Neodiprion lecontei: one gene and its partner. The protein of the gene in region 1 purifies or fractionates together with the protein of each later gene. This does not show direct contact. Links are inferred from orthologs where the notes say so. Each region holds a gene or a part of one and is shown in the gene's direction. Other genes may lie near its edges.

What was found. Proteins that work in one complex are often made in the same cells at the same time.
Region 2: the proteins of nuclear receptor-binding protein (region 1) and protein bunched, class 2/F/G isoform purify together in Homo sapiens (affinity purification with mass spectrometry; 5 studies listed by BioGRID and IntAct, with this or other methods). This does not show direct contact. The link is inferred for Neodiprion lecontei from reciprocal best matches to the Homo sapiens genes NRBP1 and TSC22D2.

The regions. Positions count from the first base shown.
Region 1 is NC_060263.1:2,485,659-2,494,717, reverse strand, and holds nuclear receptor-binding protein, read left to right. Parts: upstream 1-2,356; 5' UTR 2,357-3,049; coding exon 3,050-3,178; intron 3,179-3,322; coding exon 3,323-3,430; intron 3,431-3,574; coding exon 3,575-3,799; intron 3,800-3,874; coding exon 3,875-4,005; intron 4,006-4,104; coding exon 4,105-4,199; intron 4,200-5,421; coding exon 5,422-5,505; intron 5,506-5,598; coding exon 5,599-5,898; intron 5,899-5,975; coding exon 5,976-6,135; intron 6,136-6,406; coding exon 6,407-6,593; intron 6,594-6,673; coding exon 6,674-6,793; intron 6,794-6,936; coding exon 6,937-7,221; 3' UTR 7,222-8,816; downstream 8,817-9,059. Other genes in the region: kinase D-interacting substrate of 220 kDa B, read left to right, coding at 1-29, 126-300, 393-655, 774-960, 1,039-1,220. UniProt on the Homo sapiens protein: Required for embryonic development. Plays a role in intestinal epithelial cell fate and proliferation, thereby involved in the architectural development of the intestine potentially via the regulation of Wnt-responsive genes.
Region 2 is NC_060264.1:22,930,370-22,939,034, reverse strand, and holds the start of protein bunched, class 2/F/G isoform, read left to right. Parts: upstream 1-1,890; 5' UTR 1,891-3,229; coding exon 3,230-5,007; intron 5,008-5,241; coding exon 5,242-5,293; intron 5,294-8,473; coding exon 8,474-8,665. UniProt on the Homo sapiens protein: Reduces the level of nuclear PKM isoform M2 which results in repression of cyclin CCND1 transcription and reduced cell growth.

The DNA.
Region 1 (9,059 bases):
TCGTTTGCCAGTTTGTCTGGATGCCGCTGGTAAAATAACTATATTCACTGATCGATGTGTTAGTTTGGGTAAACTATATCATTATCTGTATCAGTAATAATCACCTGTATTATACCAATTCACAGCTGAGTTACGGCATTGGATTAGTCCTGTTTCCAGACGATCCTGAACTGCGGTTGGGGATGTTTTTCGCCGGGGTGAGTCCTGCCGGAGGTGCATCTAATATTTGGACAGTAATTTTGGGCGGCAATCTCAATTTATCTGTAACAATGACCACCATCAGTACATTGGCAGCGTTTGGTGAGTTTTCCGACTCGCTTTTGTATGTACTGCGATATGATCTTTACAAAAATCGTTCGGAGAATATTAATCAAATCATGTGTGATTCGTAGGCATGATGCCGCTGTGGATCTTCACCCTTGGGAGTACGATTTTCAACAGTGCAAACCTCGGGGTTCCGTACTCGAGGATAGCAATGTTCGCAGTTGGTCTTGTCATTCCATTGGGTATCGGATTCCTGATTCAGAAAAAACTGCCAAGGGTCTCAAGGATACTAGTAAGAATACTGAAGCCGTTGTGCAGTCTGCTGATCATTGCTATCATCGTATTCGCCATTATTACCAATCTGTATCTCTTTCAACTGTTTTCGTGGAGGGTAATTACACAATTTTTACTTCCAAATAGCACCGTCAAAAATAATTGCCATATTACTCTAACCCTAGGTTTAGAATTTCCCAAGAATTACTCAACATGCTGATCAAATTACTTTTCAGATCATTGTTGCCGGTATTGGATTACCCTGGCTGGGGTATTTGTTTGGGTATTTGCTCGCTCTTGTTCTGAGGCAACCGGGCCCTGATATAACGGCAATCTCCGTCGAAACCGGAGTTCAAAACACCGGAATCTCGATATTTCTACTCAGATTCTCGTTGCCGCAACCAGCTGCTGATTTGACCACCAGTAAGAATATACCTATTCTTGTATAAGCTATCATCTCTATTTCGGAGAATTATTTCAACAATTTCGTTTACTTTGCAGTTGCTCCAGTATCAGTTGCGATAATGACGCCAATTCCATTGACTATCCTTTGGATCGTGAAACTGATTATGGATCGACGGAAAAAATCGATCGCTGCTTCAGCTGAGAAACTTCAAGGATCTACAGAGCCGATACCAACCGTATCTGCATCTACTAAAACGGACAACACCGAAAATCCTTGATTTGTACCTTTCCGTTTTAGTTTTTTGTAATCACGTTGCTACGCGCCATATCGTAACAATATTTCGAATTCTGTATATTCATTTGCCTTATCTTATGAAAGGCTGGTATAGTATCACGCATTTAATGTCTATTGATTTTCTATACAATTTTCAATCCACCGACACGTCGCGTACTTATCATTACTGAACATACCTACTGTTTTCCTTATTTTACCAAAGTTTGGTACGATACTGAATAGTTTAACACAAATTGAGAACAAATAGTACTCTTTATAGTAGATTTATACATATCTTGATTACTTAAAAAAATCCAGTCAGCAATTTACGAGCGAATGAATTTCGCGCAATATGCGAATTTAATCGGTATTTTATTTTTCCTGTAGAGTTATTTAGGCGACCAATTTTTCTAGTGATTCATTACTTACTATTCTATAGTTACCGTGAGGTAAAGAGTCACAAACTATGATGTATTATTATGATATAAAAAAAAAAACCTGGGACCTGGTCTTTGCAACTCTCGGATCAAAGTGTTCAGGTTGCGACTGAGGGGTAACCATCCCCATAACTTATATAACGTGTAACGCTAGACTATAGAAGAAGGAAAAGAAGTTCTAGGTTTGTGTAACCTTTCAATCAATTCCAGAACTAACATAACTACCAGAATGTACACCCACACACTCACTGTGCTGTGCCTTAATAACTTATTGCTAGCTAATACAGCTATGCTGTATATTGTACATTCGTAAACGTCTTGTTATACGTATAATAAGATATTGTTATTAATGTTTACTCATATATAAGATGTATATACTAAACGTTGATTATTTTTTTATTCAGAATATACGGTTTAAAAAAGAGAAAACATTTTAAATACTCATCGTTCTTATATCGACAATTTTCATCGACTTGAATTACGCGTACACGCATGACCATTGGAAAGTATTGGTATTATTAGTATTTATTAATGTCCATGACGATGTTGGACATCATTGGATTAATCCGTCTCAAACGTCTAAAACAATTACAAAGGATAAAAAAAATCTGAAAAAGGAGAAATCTAAAACGTTTAAAAAAAGTTGTACCTGGAAATTTAGAAAAATTTTTCGGGCACCGATCGTTGCATGTTCGGCCCTGTAAAAGTATTAGGCGATAGATGAATCGAATAGTTAGACGTGAGTTAGACAAGGAATGAATGAATGTATTCAAACTCCCCGATTTTCCCGCGAGAGGCAGTCGCTGCCGGTGGGCGCGGCGTTACTGTCGTGCTCAGACTTGTATTAAGCTTTTGGTAACCGAAGATAGAGTGAGATGATATTACAGCGCAATGGCAATGAGGAGTGTATAGTGTGTGTCACACGGTAATAATTCTCTCCCTTTCACGTCACACGGGTTTTAATTTGAAACCAGTGATCTCGATGGATGATATTTCGGTTATGAATTGTGCCGGAAACGGTTCGCCGAGTACCAGCGAATAAATTGTGTCGCTGCCGGATCGCGTAGTGCAGTAAATAATAATAGACATAATACGTTAAAATTGGGATCGGTCGTGCTGCATGTGTCACTCTAGTAGAGGAGGAGGCGTATACAATATATAAATACATTTAAATAAAAGATAATAATTTTATACTCAACCTCCCTCAATCCCCCTCTCGACTTCCCCTCCCTTCAACGACGTTTTCTACTCCATCAACATATTAATAATACATACTTCTTTCGCAGTGATCAAATGTTACTCTAAATATCAATATAATATTATTATGGTATTTAACTCAGTGACTCAGTTCTGCAGCTTTCAAGTTTTCAACGTGCCGTCATAATTGTTGTATGTAATGCCTGGGAGTCGATCCAGCACAGACCCAGAGCACAAGTCACCGCGGGAAAGTGGCGAAGATTCTGAGGATGAGAGTGAAATCCTCGAGGAAAGTCCCTGCGGACGCTGGCTCAAGAGGCGAGAAGAGGTAACTTATTCCAGTCGTCATTTTCACCTCATACGTGGTTGACAAAAATGATCGTATATATCTTATTTAGGCTTGCTTTTCGTCTTATTCTTTATGCCACAACAACTCGACCCACTGAATCCATCTGTTGATTTTTCTTTACAGGTCTACGTACCTACTAAATCTGCTCTAGCCGAAGGGTCCACCTTTGCAGGATCAGCTCGGAGCAACGCCACGGAAAACGACAAGAATCTCTCAAACCCCGATATGGAAGTGAGAATTTCTCCAGATTTTACCTCACTTTGCTAAGATAATAACTCTGTGTTTCTTAGGTTTAATAGTTATTGTCCGGGGACAGTTCCAAGGTTTATGATCGATTCGTGTTCTTCCAATCTAATCGAGTGGTATTTTTTTCAGGCTGAAAAGAGGGATTTGCCGGGTATTGATTGTGCCTACCTTGCTATGGACACAGAGGAAGGTGTCGAGGTTGTTTGGAACGAGGTACAGTTTTCCGAGCGCAAGAATTTCAAAGCACAAGAGGAGAAAATTCAACTTGTGTTTGAAAATTTGACTCAACTAGAGCATCCCAATATAGTGAAATTTCATAGATATTGGACAGATACTCACAATGACAAGCCACGAGTAAGTCGTTGGTTTATTATTTGAACAAAATAATTATATGTCTGCCGGATAAAAAGCTCATTTTTTATTTTTTAGGTAATATTCATAACTGAATATATGTCGTCGGGATCGTTGAAGCAGTTCCTCAAAAGGACGAAACGTAACGTTAAAAAATTACCACTGCAGGCTTGGAAACGATGGTGTACACAAATTCTTTCAGCGTTAAGGTATGTCACGAAGTTATTAAATAATAGGACAATCTTTTAAATTTTCCCCTGCTTTAATCTGTCCCAATTCGTAATACAATGATCAAATTCCTGTTTCAGTTACCTGCATTCTTGCTCACCTCCTATTATTCATGGAAATCTTACCTGTGATACTATTTTTATTCAGCACAATGGCCTAGTTAAAATTGGTTCAGGTAAGCAGTAATATTGAAAGCGTATAAGGCGGATGACGTTACGTACTTATTGCTGACCGGTTGTTCTGTCTTTAATGCTAATACGCAGAATACACATAGTTTTAATGGATGTCTAATTGTGCTTGATGGCTTTGCTCGTTTGCAAAAATCATCAACGGATTATTTAAGCAAGCAACTTGTTTTCAGCTGATTCTTTACAATCAGCACATAGCCGTTCTGATAAATGAAATAATATTTAATCGAAACAGGAAACAATGACATTGAAACGTGAGTAGAGAAATTAGAAATCTCCACAATTATAATTGCATAGTTGGAGAATACCAATGATGTCACTACTAAATACTATTGTAAACGAAATGGGAACTATGTAAGGTTTTTGCTAGCAGTAGATAGGACAGAACGTATTCTAAATTTAGATGTACACAGAAGTTAGACAAAAAGATTGTGTTATTCTAATGTTCCTTTTGAACTAGGAGTAACTTGAGTCCTCATTTTTAATTGTAGCAAATAGCCTCTAATCTAGATAATGAAAAAAAAACAGCAATGCCTTCAACAAGAGAGACGAGGGTACAAACGTACTTTCACCGTATCTACCGGAGAAATTAAATTTTCGACATCTACAACCTATCAATTGGCCTCATAACTTGCCACAGGTGGCGAAGTGGTGAAACTTCTCAACTTGGCAGATTATCACCTATCGCCAGCTAAGTAAATTAGGCACAGAGGTAAACAATATTATTATTATGCATAATTTATTAATTATAGAAAGTATACTTTTCAAGTACTTCTTTCACACTCAGTTACGATGCTAAGTGTAATCTTATTTTTAAAAAAGAACCACTATTTCGTCCTGAGAATAGACGTGAAAAAATTAATGAAGAACATGTTATCTGTGTGTCAGGATATACTTCAGAACCGAATGAAATGAGGGCTCAATTTACACTTGTAATTATCTTATTATCGATTATATCAATGATTCTTTAAGTACTTCTATGAAAAAAAAATTTCGTGGGTATGAAAGGATCAACTGACAAACTACAGTAATTACATAAAAATCTTGAAATATGTGACAGACGGAAAAATTTTCCCACCATATAATAGATATTATTCCAATGTTTCATGGGAAAAGTCTTCTGTACTGCCTGTACTTTTTTTTCAACTTTTTTTCACATTTTTGAACCATGTTTTGGCAAACTAAAAGTGAATTTCTTTGACATTACAGTGGCGCCTGATGCTATTCATCATCACGTAAAAACCTGCAGGGCAAATACGAAGAATATGCATTTTGTTGCACCAGAATACGGAAGTAAGTTCCATTTAGTATCAGCCAAAGACTTTGGACCCGTAAGAGAGGAAATGCTTGTCCAATTGTTGATGATATATTTTTCTTTCTTTCTAGTTTTATCCTTAGGCTCGTTAACTCCGGCTATTGATATTTATTCCTTTGGAATGTGTGCATTGGAAATGGCAGCGCTAGAAATTCAAGGAAACGGCGATACTGGTACCGTAGTTACGGACGAAAATATCAATAAAACCATAGAATCGTTAGATGACAGCCAGCAGAAGGATTTCATTCATAAATGTCTTCAAGTAAATCCCATCTGTCGGCCTAGCGCCAGAGAACTTTTATTTCATCCTCTACTTTTCGAGGTTCACACCCTGAAGCTGTTGGCGGCACACGCTTTGGTTAATTCAGCCAGTAAGTATATCGTGCCTTTGTCTAGTATTGTTGGTCTTTATCCAAATACAACAACAGATATTTTCTTTCATTTTTAGCAAATATATCAGAGACAATAACAGATGAGGTGCTACAAAGGCTGTACGGACCCGACACAGTCGTTGCTGAAGTACGTTATGCAGATCGTTCTCCGTACCAAATTCGTTCAAGTGATATTCAAGTTGCTGAAAAATTAGAGAAATTCGTCGAAGATGTAAAGTAAGTTTTGGATTAGACTCGCTCTCTATATAGTCACATTTAAAATGATTGTCCTACCGTATTATATGTCTATCGATAGTCTGCACATGTGCAATTTTTCTGCTGTCTTACCAATTTCTTTCTAATATTATATCGCCTTTTAATTTCTTTGTAGATGCATCTAATACTTGCTAATAATTGATCTCGTTTAAGGGTATGAAAATATTCAACTTTGAATACTCGTGCTGTTCTGAATATCGAAAATAATCATCTCCTCTCGATTAACATTCAGGTATGGAATATACCCGTTAACTGCATTTATGGCTAAGTTACCGCCTCCGGTTCGACCTCGTGCCATATCCCCAGAAGTAACGGAATCTGTCAAGTCTGTAACACCTGAACCACTTGACTTTGAATCTCGGAGAGTTGTAAATATGATGTGCAACGTGAAGCCTAGAGAAGAGAGCCGTGAACTTCTTGTAAGTCTTTGTTAAATTTGTTACTTCGATTCATATTCATTTTTCAAAGCTGTTGTTACACTATTGTTCATTCGTTTCAGATGACGATACTTTTGCGAATGGATGATAAAATGAACAGGCAACTCACATGTCCTATAACGCAAATCGACACGTCGATGCTTCTCGCACAAGAACTCGTACATTTTGGGTTTATCAACGAGGTAAGTGCGGACCGATAAAGCTAGAGAGAAAAAAATCGTATACAAGGTGTAGGAACAACGAAAGGTGTACTGTCCCTACAAAATATTGGCAGGAAATTCATATAATGCAATAAAATTTGTACAATTGTACGTATTTATTTCAGAACGATCGTGATAAGATAGGAAATCTAATCGAAGAGGCATTAAGAAGTTGTTTCAACAAGCAAATGATGAATCCTGGAATGGTATCCTTGACAAATCTTCCAACGCAAACGACACTGTTACTCTCCGGGCCTGAATTTCCGTGTTTGCAACATTTAGATAATAATTCCTCTGTCGCTGGTGTTGCAACAGCGAGTGGCGGTGAGAATTTGATTGGAAATTCGTATAAAAAAGGAACAGAAAGTAGGGAAGCAGAATCATCAATAATCGCCGACAGCGGTAGTTAACCATCGAGAGGATTTGTGATAATTCAGTTCAATGTGCCACCTTGCACATTTTATATATAGACTGGCTATGTATTTTTATATTTAAGTAAATACGACAGAAAGTGGAATAATGAGGGAGATGAGCTTGGAAGGAGAGGGGAGGAGGAATCGAGTCGTGGCTTTCAAAAAAGCATAACCGTGATGATAAACATGCACATTTTAACCGAATATTTCACGGTACGATATGACAGTGAGTGAACTCAATTTCAGGGTCGAAATATTTGGTAAGACGAATAAAGTAAATTTTATTTAATAAATCATATTAGAAATGGTCATATTGTATTATCGCTGAAATATTAGTGAGACAAATTTTATAACATTCTTAGGGTCTATAACTCTCTCTTTGAAAAAGAAAAAAGAAAAAAGAAAAAAAAAAATACTTTACAAACTCTCAGTTATGACGGCGCCGCAAAATGATAAGTGTATTAATTCTTTGATATTACTACATGAATTTTTTTCGTTTTCTTTGCAAGGAGACGTTTTACCTTCTGTTAGTCCCGCTTTTGCTACATACATAATATTAATATGCTTAGAGACGCATTTTGATAATTTTTTACTTTCTCCCCAAAGACGTACGCGAGGAAAGTAAAAATAGAAGAAAAATTATTTCTTATTTTCAACTCTGGAACTTAATTTCGCTTTCAGATAAATTTTCTCGTGTACATACAATGTATTTCTTTCTTTTTTCATAATTAGCAATTTGTAAAATTCTAAATTATTTTACGCACTTCGAGAGATTTCACTTTGTTAATTCAGCATTTTTGCCCCTGAATAATACTCGTTCGTGTACGCAATTGATACCATTTCTGTTATTTTTTGATTTTTTGTTTCTACTAGTATTGACAATTGAAAAAGAAAAAAACCCATAAGAGACCGTGTATCTTGATATTTGAATCAATAGGCATTATTTTTATATATACAATGAAAATTCGAATAAACCACTTAATTTAATAATAAATAATTTAGAGAAAAAACACGTACCGCGAACAGAGAGCTAAAAATTACAAACGCATTTTTTGATGACAGAATCGTGTGTTTTTCTTTTCTTTTCTAATTATTTTTTACCTATTAGTCCGTGCGATCATTTTAAATATCACCAACATCTGTTGAGCAGCTCCGCATCCGCCATCGATATGTCCTACCATGAAATAAAATATGTACCTACCTAGCTGCGTGATACCTTGTACGCAAAATTGAGTAACAGATTGCGTTAATAAAAGTAAGATAAATTATAAATATCGAACGCTCGAATGCTCGGAAACTTTGTTACAGATTATTGCATATTTCTTGTGAAAATCAATTAAATATCTCGATTCTCGTACCACCATCACTACTACTACTACTACTACTACTACTACTACTACTACTGCTACTACTACCTACTACTACTACAACTACTGCTACTCGCGGAATAATAAAGCTGCGCCACTTTGCGCAATTGTTTATAGCAGCGGTATAATGCCAAATTTGTTCGTTGTACCTATTAAGTGTAATAATCGTAGTATGTATAAAATGTAGTAGGTCTCTGAATCACCAATAAAACAAATATTTACAAATTTTTATGCATTCGAGGTACAAATGATTTATTGTATGTATGTATACGTTGCCAATGTGTCTTATTTTTCGAAAAAAGAATTTTCCATACGCACGTACCAACTGTCGCATTTGATTAAACCAGAATTTTTCATTGAAAAAACAAACCTTCCGAGAATGTTTTGTAAACGTGTACGTATGTAACATACATAATAATTATTTTTCTGTTAATTTTTTTTTTTTTTCGAACAACTAACTAGGTCATG
Region 2 (8,665 bases), on another chromosome or scaffold:
CGTTTATGATCGTTTCACGTGTGATGGAACCGACTTTCCGTTTAAAGTTGTTCTCTGATTAGTCTAGTTACGTCTATGACGCTTCGTCACCGAGTACCACCATGAAAGGATTTCATGTGTCAGAGTCCAGTCTCTACTAAAGGTCTACCTTTGGAACATCCTCTTCGGAGGAATAGTCGTACAGGAGAAAAAGAAGAAGGATCTCCTACGGCGTGCACTCAATTATAAATTATAAATTTATAGATACTCACGTTCTCAAACCGTTCTGTTTCTATGAACATTAGTACGTTAGCCCCATTCAATTACTGATGAACCTAGCTAAAATAAATCTCAGTTGCTACACATAAAAATTACACTGAAAAATGAATCTCTGAAGTCAAGTAGTAGAACGAGAAACAGAGTTATATTGCTACCAAATATTAAAAAAACCATAACTGGTAAAAGTAATTATATAAAGGCGGAGTTTTCAATTTAGTATCACATGAATTTTAATTCTGACAAGTAAAAAGAAAATATTTACGAGAAAGCTTAAAAAGCTTTTAGCTCTAAAGATGTAAATATTTGAGTACCACAGGGAACAGGGTGGTCCTAGTTTAGGGTGTTGCTGAATTTTTTCAGGCTACCCCCCAAATCTATTATTAATTTTTTTAGATTTTTATTTCAATTCTAACCCGTGCCGGTAATACGATGGATTTTCCGATTCAAAATACACATAGTTAGAGTAATATTGTTAAAAAAAACCTGTAACTGCGAGATTTCAATGGGCATTAGTGCTACTATCTGTGAAGAAATTTACATCACCGTACCCGGCAATCTCGGCAAATTGCACACCCTTGCATACTGAGAATGTGGCCGAAACACGAGTATTTTAAATGGAGGCATTCACCCTCTTACAGGCACGAGTTAGAGATGTGATAAAAATCTAAAAAAATTAGGACATTTTTTTTGAATCATTTGGGTAGATTTGGGGGGTGGCTCGGGTATAATTCGTCAACACCTTAAATAAGGACTATACCTTAGAGCATATTACTGTACATAAACAGTCTTTTGGAATTGCTGATGATATAGTTTCTTGCAGTGCTACAGATTCGATAAGTTTAAAAAATTTGCTATCGACCAACTGAAAAAAATGAAGTATTGGTTATATGAAAATAGTTTGTCATTAAACGTTGCCAAATCAGTATGCATTACTTTCGGAAATTACCGTGGGTCCATACAGAAATTGTGGCGGAGGGTGAGATAGAGCACTTATGCCATGTATGTACAGCCTGTCTCTCTCGCTCTACAACCTGCTTGTCCGATGCGTTCCCTCTCAGCCAATCAAATGCAGAGTGAGAGTGACAGAGTATCCAGGTTAACTCGGGGATACATATCTCGCTCTCTCATGACTACGGCCACAGTTTTCGCGAAGTCGACGGCATGGGTAGCTCCACCTTCAGTATTATATGTTCTAAGGGAGTTTCCAGACAGACCCGTGTAATACCATGGGTAACGTAAGCCGTGTTCGAAAATTGACTGACAGTACTGGCAGCAATCTTTCATCTCTTTTGCGCTTCCAAGTTCGTGAATAGCTCTGACTCTGTCCTGGGGAATTTTGAGTACTGTCAGTCAATTTACGAACACGGCCGTAGTAAGTGAAGAACGCTACTAGTTCTCTGGGGAATTTTTATTTAGGCCGTGTTCGTAAATTGACTGCCAGTACTAAAAATTCCCTAGGACAGAGACAGAGCTGTTCATGAACTCGGCAGCACAAAAGAGATGAAAGATTGCTGACAGTACTGTCAGTCAATTTTCGAACACGGTCTTAGTGCGCAACTTAGGTCCTCAAGGCCGTATTTGAAGACGATCTAAGTACATTCATGTAGTATATGATTCATTGCGAGCCCGAGTGAATGGCAGCCATTTTTAAACCGCTGTTGCTCACTGCTGCTGCCTGTCTGCCACTGCAAAGGCGGAGCGAGAGAAGGAAAAATAGAAGAAAAAAATAATAAACCAACAGTATAAATAATATAGTAACAGAGATGAACGTTGGTGACGAAGGGAATTGAGAAGAGAAGAAGGATATCACGCAGAACACGCATTAACGACATCTAGATATAGATATACATACGTATATCTATACCCACATACACACACACTCATATATTCATCTGCATTTGTTTTCTACCCGTAGAGAGAGAGCGAAAAAATAAAAAAAAAATAAGAAAAATCATGTAAAATGTAACCTGTCTAATTCGCAAAAAGTCAAGTACCTCGGCGCGGTTTGCGGTGATCTACCGCAAGTCCACAAGTCAAAAAATAAACACAGCATCAGGTACGAGTGAAATCTGACAATTACGGGGTACATGAGGGGCTGTTTGTGTAAATGAAACTACAGCAAAAGGAAGATAGATTAGTGTGCAGAGTAGCAGCAGCAGCAGTGCAGTAAACAAGAAGAGGAGGAATAAGACGATGCAAATACCAAAGTCGCGATAATCCCGTCGGAGACGGTAATCTAGCCGATCAACTGATGCCCCTCGGATTTTTCGGGGGCTGTGAAAGAGAAACCGTGTCGAGGAAACCAGGAACAGGGAACTAGCGATGATCAAGAACTGTCAACACCAGCATCCCTCGCAGCCAGTTAGTGATTGTGTCGTGTTATATCGTATGGCGTGCATATGCTGTGTATTTCTGTGTGTGGCTAGACGATAAATCATGTGGCAAAAAATGGGCAGAATAAACACCCTCCGAAATCCGCAATAATAATCCTGATCGTCCCTTCGTCGTGACGTCTCTTCTCGGTTCCGTCGGCGATTCGTACTCGTGCAATTATACGAGTTTTTCAAACAAAAGAAGGAGAAATAGAACAAATACACCCCCGTCATCCACCCCTGCGTAAGAGGGAAAAGAAAGAAAAAAAAAGTACATTGAACAACTTGAGAGCAGGAAAACCCGACGACGACCGTTTCGGTCGCAACTCTCGACGATAAGTGAGGCAGAGAGGGAAAGAGAAAAATAGAAATAGAAGAAAATAGTTCCTGGGTGAAAAACCGGGACTTGAGTCGTCGTCGTCGACGGCGCCGAGAGTCGAACAAGACACGCAAGAAACACAATGGTGTTAACATGCAACTGGGGAAAAAGTCTAGCCACGACAGTCGATGCCAAAGCCTCGACCTCCACCGCCTCCTCCTCTTCCTCGGAGAGAATTGTAGAATGCGAATGTTTCTAATAAACAAACTAATCTATAATAATGGCAGATAATGTGCACAGAAAGTCGCACAGCAAACACTTGGCAGACAGCGTTAACAACAGCGTTAGCAATAGTAGTAGTAGTAAAAAATTGTCCTCATCGCCCTCTTCGGTCGTGCATCGCACAACCTCGGAGACGATCAGGATCGGTGAGCCTGATAAGTTTCTCCAGCCGTTGGCACCACCCCCGACGACGTCGACTCCTGTCCAGAACAATGTTGCCTCATCGGCGTCGTCGGGCGGTCAGTGCAGAAAGAAGACGTCATCGTTTCAGATAACCAGCGTGACGGTAGGCTGTAGGATGAGTAACGACGCTGGCGAGGATTCGAATGACGATCTGGATGAGTCACACACGGAAGATAATTCTGTGGAACACTCGAGAGTGACTGACATCGACATCGAGACGCCGAGCTACTCGGAGGACACCTTCTCTAAGGAAGACGTCTTTTTCAACACAAGCAATGCTGCCCTCGGTACTGCACCTGTCATTCCGACAAGCTCTCAGTACGGCCTTGCCATTGTTCCATCTGAGGGTGGCGGAGCAAGCAACTCAGCCAGCGAGAACAACATCAATGCCTTGGATATCGGCTCAGTGACGGACAAAAACATAATAAATCTTCTGTCAGGTGGTGCGAAGCAAGATCCCGATATTCGCGAGGTCCACTCGCATGGGCGCAATGAACGTTTCAAAGTTGTTAAGATCGAAAGCACAGAGCCGTTCAAGCGTGGTCGATGGACCTGCATGGACTACCTTGACCACACATCCGTCAACCAGACGACGGCTATTAATTCCATCAAGCAGTCAGGGCCGAATGAGGTTTGCATATCGTACGGCGTCACCGATAGTGGCATCGTTGTCCCCGAGGCCATGAAACAGCAGCAGCCAGACACCGAGGGCACGAAAAGTGTGGATTCCAATGGGCCAATATCGCACCAGGAAATTGTTGGGAGTGCCACCTACCCTGTAAACAGTACATCGCTCTCTCAGCAGCAGCAACCCAATCAACCGCAAATACAGCAGCAGTCGAATTCTGCTCAGCAACAGATTCCTCCACAGTACTTTCAGCAACAGCAGCAGCAAATGTCGCAGCAAACTCAGAACCAGAATCAGCACGGCGGAGGTGCGGCGCAGGGCGCTACTCTGCCATCGAATCTGGCACCTGCCTCACACCCAGGGAACCTTGGCCAGCCTCAGAGCATGCCGCAGGGCTCAATTCCGCTAATCGCGCAAACTGGGAACAACAGCAGCAACGGAGTCGCGATAGCGACGAACCAGCAGAACCTTCAGCAGCATCCTACTAAGGAGGAAAACTACGTTACAGTCAGTGCACAGGCTCCACAGCCGCAGCAGAACGTATGCCAGACGCCTACTGTCCAGACACCGGTTGTGCAAGGACATCCGGCCGCTGTGTCTTCACCAGCTGCTCAGACGCCAAACATCATGGTCACTGGAGTTCCACCGCCTCACCAGCAGCAGCAACTGTCCGAACCGATGGCAGGCATTCAGGGTGTGCAGAATATCCAGCAGCAACAGGCTGCACCAAATATCCATGTTTCCACTGCGCCCGTTATGCCACAGGCACAGATGCAGTCTCAGTCGTCGGGCCAGAATGTCATCTCGTTTCACCATTCCGACAACGAACAGGATCCTGCTGCTGGTATTGCTGGTCCTGTTGTTGCTGTTGTGCCTCCACAATCCGCGGATGCGACTCTGCTCGAATCCCTCGCTGAAGTCACCCAGAGCACTGACGAACATCACGCCCACGAAGACAATGAAAGGTGAGGAAGACTGGCCAATGAGTAATCGGATACGACGATGATAACGTTGGTCTAATTTTATCCTTGAGTATGTAGTAAAAATTTGGAAAATGTGGGAATTTTGTCTAATTTCTAATTTTTTAAAATGAAACAAGTACTTCTCCCGTATTTTCAATGCTCACATCTCGAATGAAAATCCTTTGTTGATATCGCAGTCGATTTCGTTGCTACTACTTTGTTCGTTTTAATTTTCAGTATGTCCGGGACCAGTGCAGTTGCCATTGACAACAAAATTGAACAAGCTATGGTAAGAATTCTTCTCAGTCTTCGTGGGTTTTCAGTCAGGCTTTTAGTTCCCTACAAAATTATAGTAATCGAAGAACTTTTTAGAGTCTAAGAACGAGTTGAAGTTAATAAAGTTGATCTAAAGAAACAGCGAAGGCAAAAATTCATTATGTTGCAATTTTAGAATGACCACAAAGAAGTTAATTGGGTTTTCAAAATATAAGTATATTAAGCTAATTAAACATTACGCTTCACCGATTTCAAACAATTTTAAAGTTATGAATGAATGTGTTTTTTTTTCTAAACAAGAAACACCCTCAACATCAGTAATACGTTTCTAATTTCAACCTCGTGTCTGAAAAAGAAGTTATGAAATTTTACGAACATAAAGACGGTAGGGGGATAAGCAGGGTAACAATGGCTTTTGCAAATATCTTAATAATTTCTTATGGATACGTAAGGACTATTAAAATACAAAGATCCTGAAAATATTAGATCTGAATCTCGATTAGTTTTTGAGAAAGAAAAAAAAGCTAAAAAAATGTTAAATAATTTTTTACTTAAGATTGACTTGACCGATTTGTTTGAAACTTTATATGTTAGTCAAAAGCTTTTATAGACACGTAGATTTTAAACTTAATAAATTCATGATAAGAAAAATTATTTTCTCTTAAACTTTTCTTTTTCACTGTGATTTTATTTGAGCAAAACTATGAACTGGAACTGAACTTGCTATCCAATCGCCAGTTTTACATTCCTCATGAATTCTTCAATGAGTCACATTTATTTCAAAATTTTGGTAGTGGTACGCCGTAATTAAAAAAACAAAAGAAACACCATTTTTTTTCCACACAAGAACTGAATTATGAAACAAGTTTTAGCCGTATTATTGCGAGTTGTGTTCTTGTTTTTAAATAAGTAATGTACTTAAATAATTCAGTTAATTGAGTAAGTAAATTATTTCAGTATATTGTTTATATACGTATGTATAAAAGTACGATTTGCAATAACACAGCTAAAATTTGTTTGCATAATTCAGTTTTTCTGGAATTAAAATAGTTGTATTTTTATTTTAACAGTGGCATACTGTAATGCAAATTTAGACAATGATACGATTTATTGAAAAATCTATAAGGAATGAAAAAATAACAGTTTCATCATTTTACTTGAAAAGTGTCACAGTGAAAATAAAAAATCAAGGAGACAATAATTTTTTTTATGATGCGCTTATTAAGCTAAAAATGTTTCCATTGTGTATGTACAAGCTCTTTGTTTCTTCAATAACATTTTCAATTTTCAAACATATTTGTCAGGTTAATCCCGATGAAAAAATTATTTTATAATAATAATAATAATAATTTATTGCCAGAATTATCTTAAACAAACTTTATGATAAAATTAGACTATACAACAAGATCTAACGTTTAAATAATTCTACTCAATAATGAAATACTTAATATTCACAAAATCCAATATTACCATTAACTCTTTATTTAATCTATTTTAAGTTGATATATTTTATCCTTAATTTTTTGTATTATTAATTTTTTGCTTCTATCAATAACTTTCAAATCATTTGGTTGTTCATTGAATAGTTTTTTACCGCATAATATAAGTAGCTTCTTTGCCCAATATGAAGATAATCTTTCGTTAATGAAATGCTACGATACCTAGTATTATTCGTATTCTCAGTGAATAACCTCCTCAGTTCCGTGTATTGGTACAGTATGGACCAGTAGGTAAACCTGTCTGATTTCCATAGGTCGATTCTGGTCATTAACTCGAATGTCAATTATCTCGGGTAACCGACTTTGTAGTGTTAATAATGGAAGGTACGCAGTATCATATAAACTACCCCATCCAATAATGCCGTACACTGCAATACTATGGAACATCGTACAATAAATTTGAATTACCTGCCTTTTTTGTTAAGACTTGTTTCAATCGATAGAACACAAACACTAAGTATTTAGTTTTATTAATAATATTATTAATATGCTGCTTCCATGAAATATTTTGATCCAAAATTATTCCAAGATATTTCCATTCAGGTACTCTCCTTAAACTGCATCCATTAACAGAAATGTCAATAGACATGGAAATTGAGTCAGAATAGTTGCCAAATGTTATATATATACTGACATTTTGATATTCAATACTAATTTGTTCCAGAATAACCAGACGCAAATTGAATCTAACTTTTAACTTGAATAAACCTCCAGCTCTGCCCATGTTTTACCATTGCTCACAACAGCTGTGTCATCAGCATATGCTATTAATTTCGGATGTATTTTTAATCGAATTTCGATGGTTGCGCACCTTAAATATAATTGAAAAAAAATGTTACATATTTTTTTTTCCCCGCATCATATTTACCCACCCTTAGAAAGCCTTACTTTTTCTTGTAAGAAAAGCATTCATTTTTTGAGGTTTTTAACCACAAGTGCGTACTGGGTCCAAAAAAACGTTAAAAATTTGTTAAAAAAGTAAAACGATTGTGAATTTGGCCCCTTTAAGACGCCGCTTGGGAAATATGGCTATCTTTATTTTTTACTCCGCTATCTAACTTTTAGTGCGGCAAGAAATTTTGACTATTGAATCCAAATTTTTGAGCGGTCAAAGAACTCAATAGTCTTAAGGTAAAAGGAAATTCTTCACTGAAAATAATAAGTAGATGTTCAAAAATTTCAATCATCTCATCTTCCTTCTTATAAGAAAAAGGAAATTCCCACACGCGGTTTTAAAGGGGACAAATTCCTCTTCATTTTGCTTCTTTACAAAATTATCTACAATCTTCTTTGAACCTGATACGCACTTTTGATTAAAAACCTCGAAAAATCAATTTTTTTTTTTAGGACCAACAATAGGGCTTCCTAGAGGTGGTTAAATACGAAGGGAAAAAAAATTTGCAACATATTTTTCAAAATTATTTCGAACCAATTTGAGGGGTACAAACATCGAAATTCAATTTCACTGTCCATAAGGAAAGGTCTGATATGTATATATAAATATATGCTTTTTTTTTTCCTCAACAGCAAATTGAGATTGAGGTTTGATACAGGATCCTGGTATTTTAATAGTACCTACTTATTCATAAAATATCATTACGATATTCGCAATAGTAATTTTTAACCTGCTTATCCTCGTATGGCCTTTGTAAATACATAATAACAATAATGAGGAATTTGATTATCGTGAACAGGATTTGGTAAAAAGTCACCTGATGTTCGCGGTGCGGGAGGAGGTCGAGGTGCTGAAGGAGAAGATTGCAGAATTGATGGACCGGATAAATCAATTGGAGGCGGAGAATTCGATACTGAAGTCGCACGCGACGCCAGAGGTATTGTCACAACTCAGCAATACTCAGTCGACGCAATCGGGTAAACAGCAACAG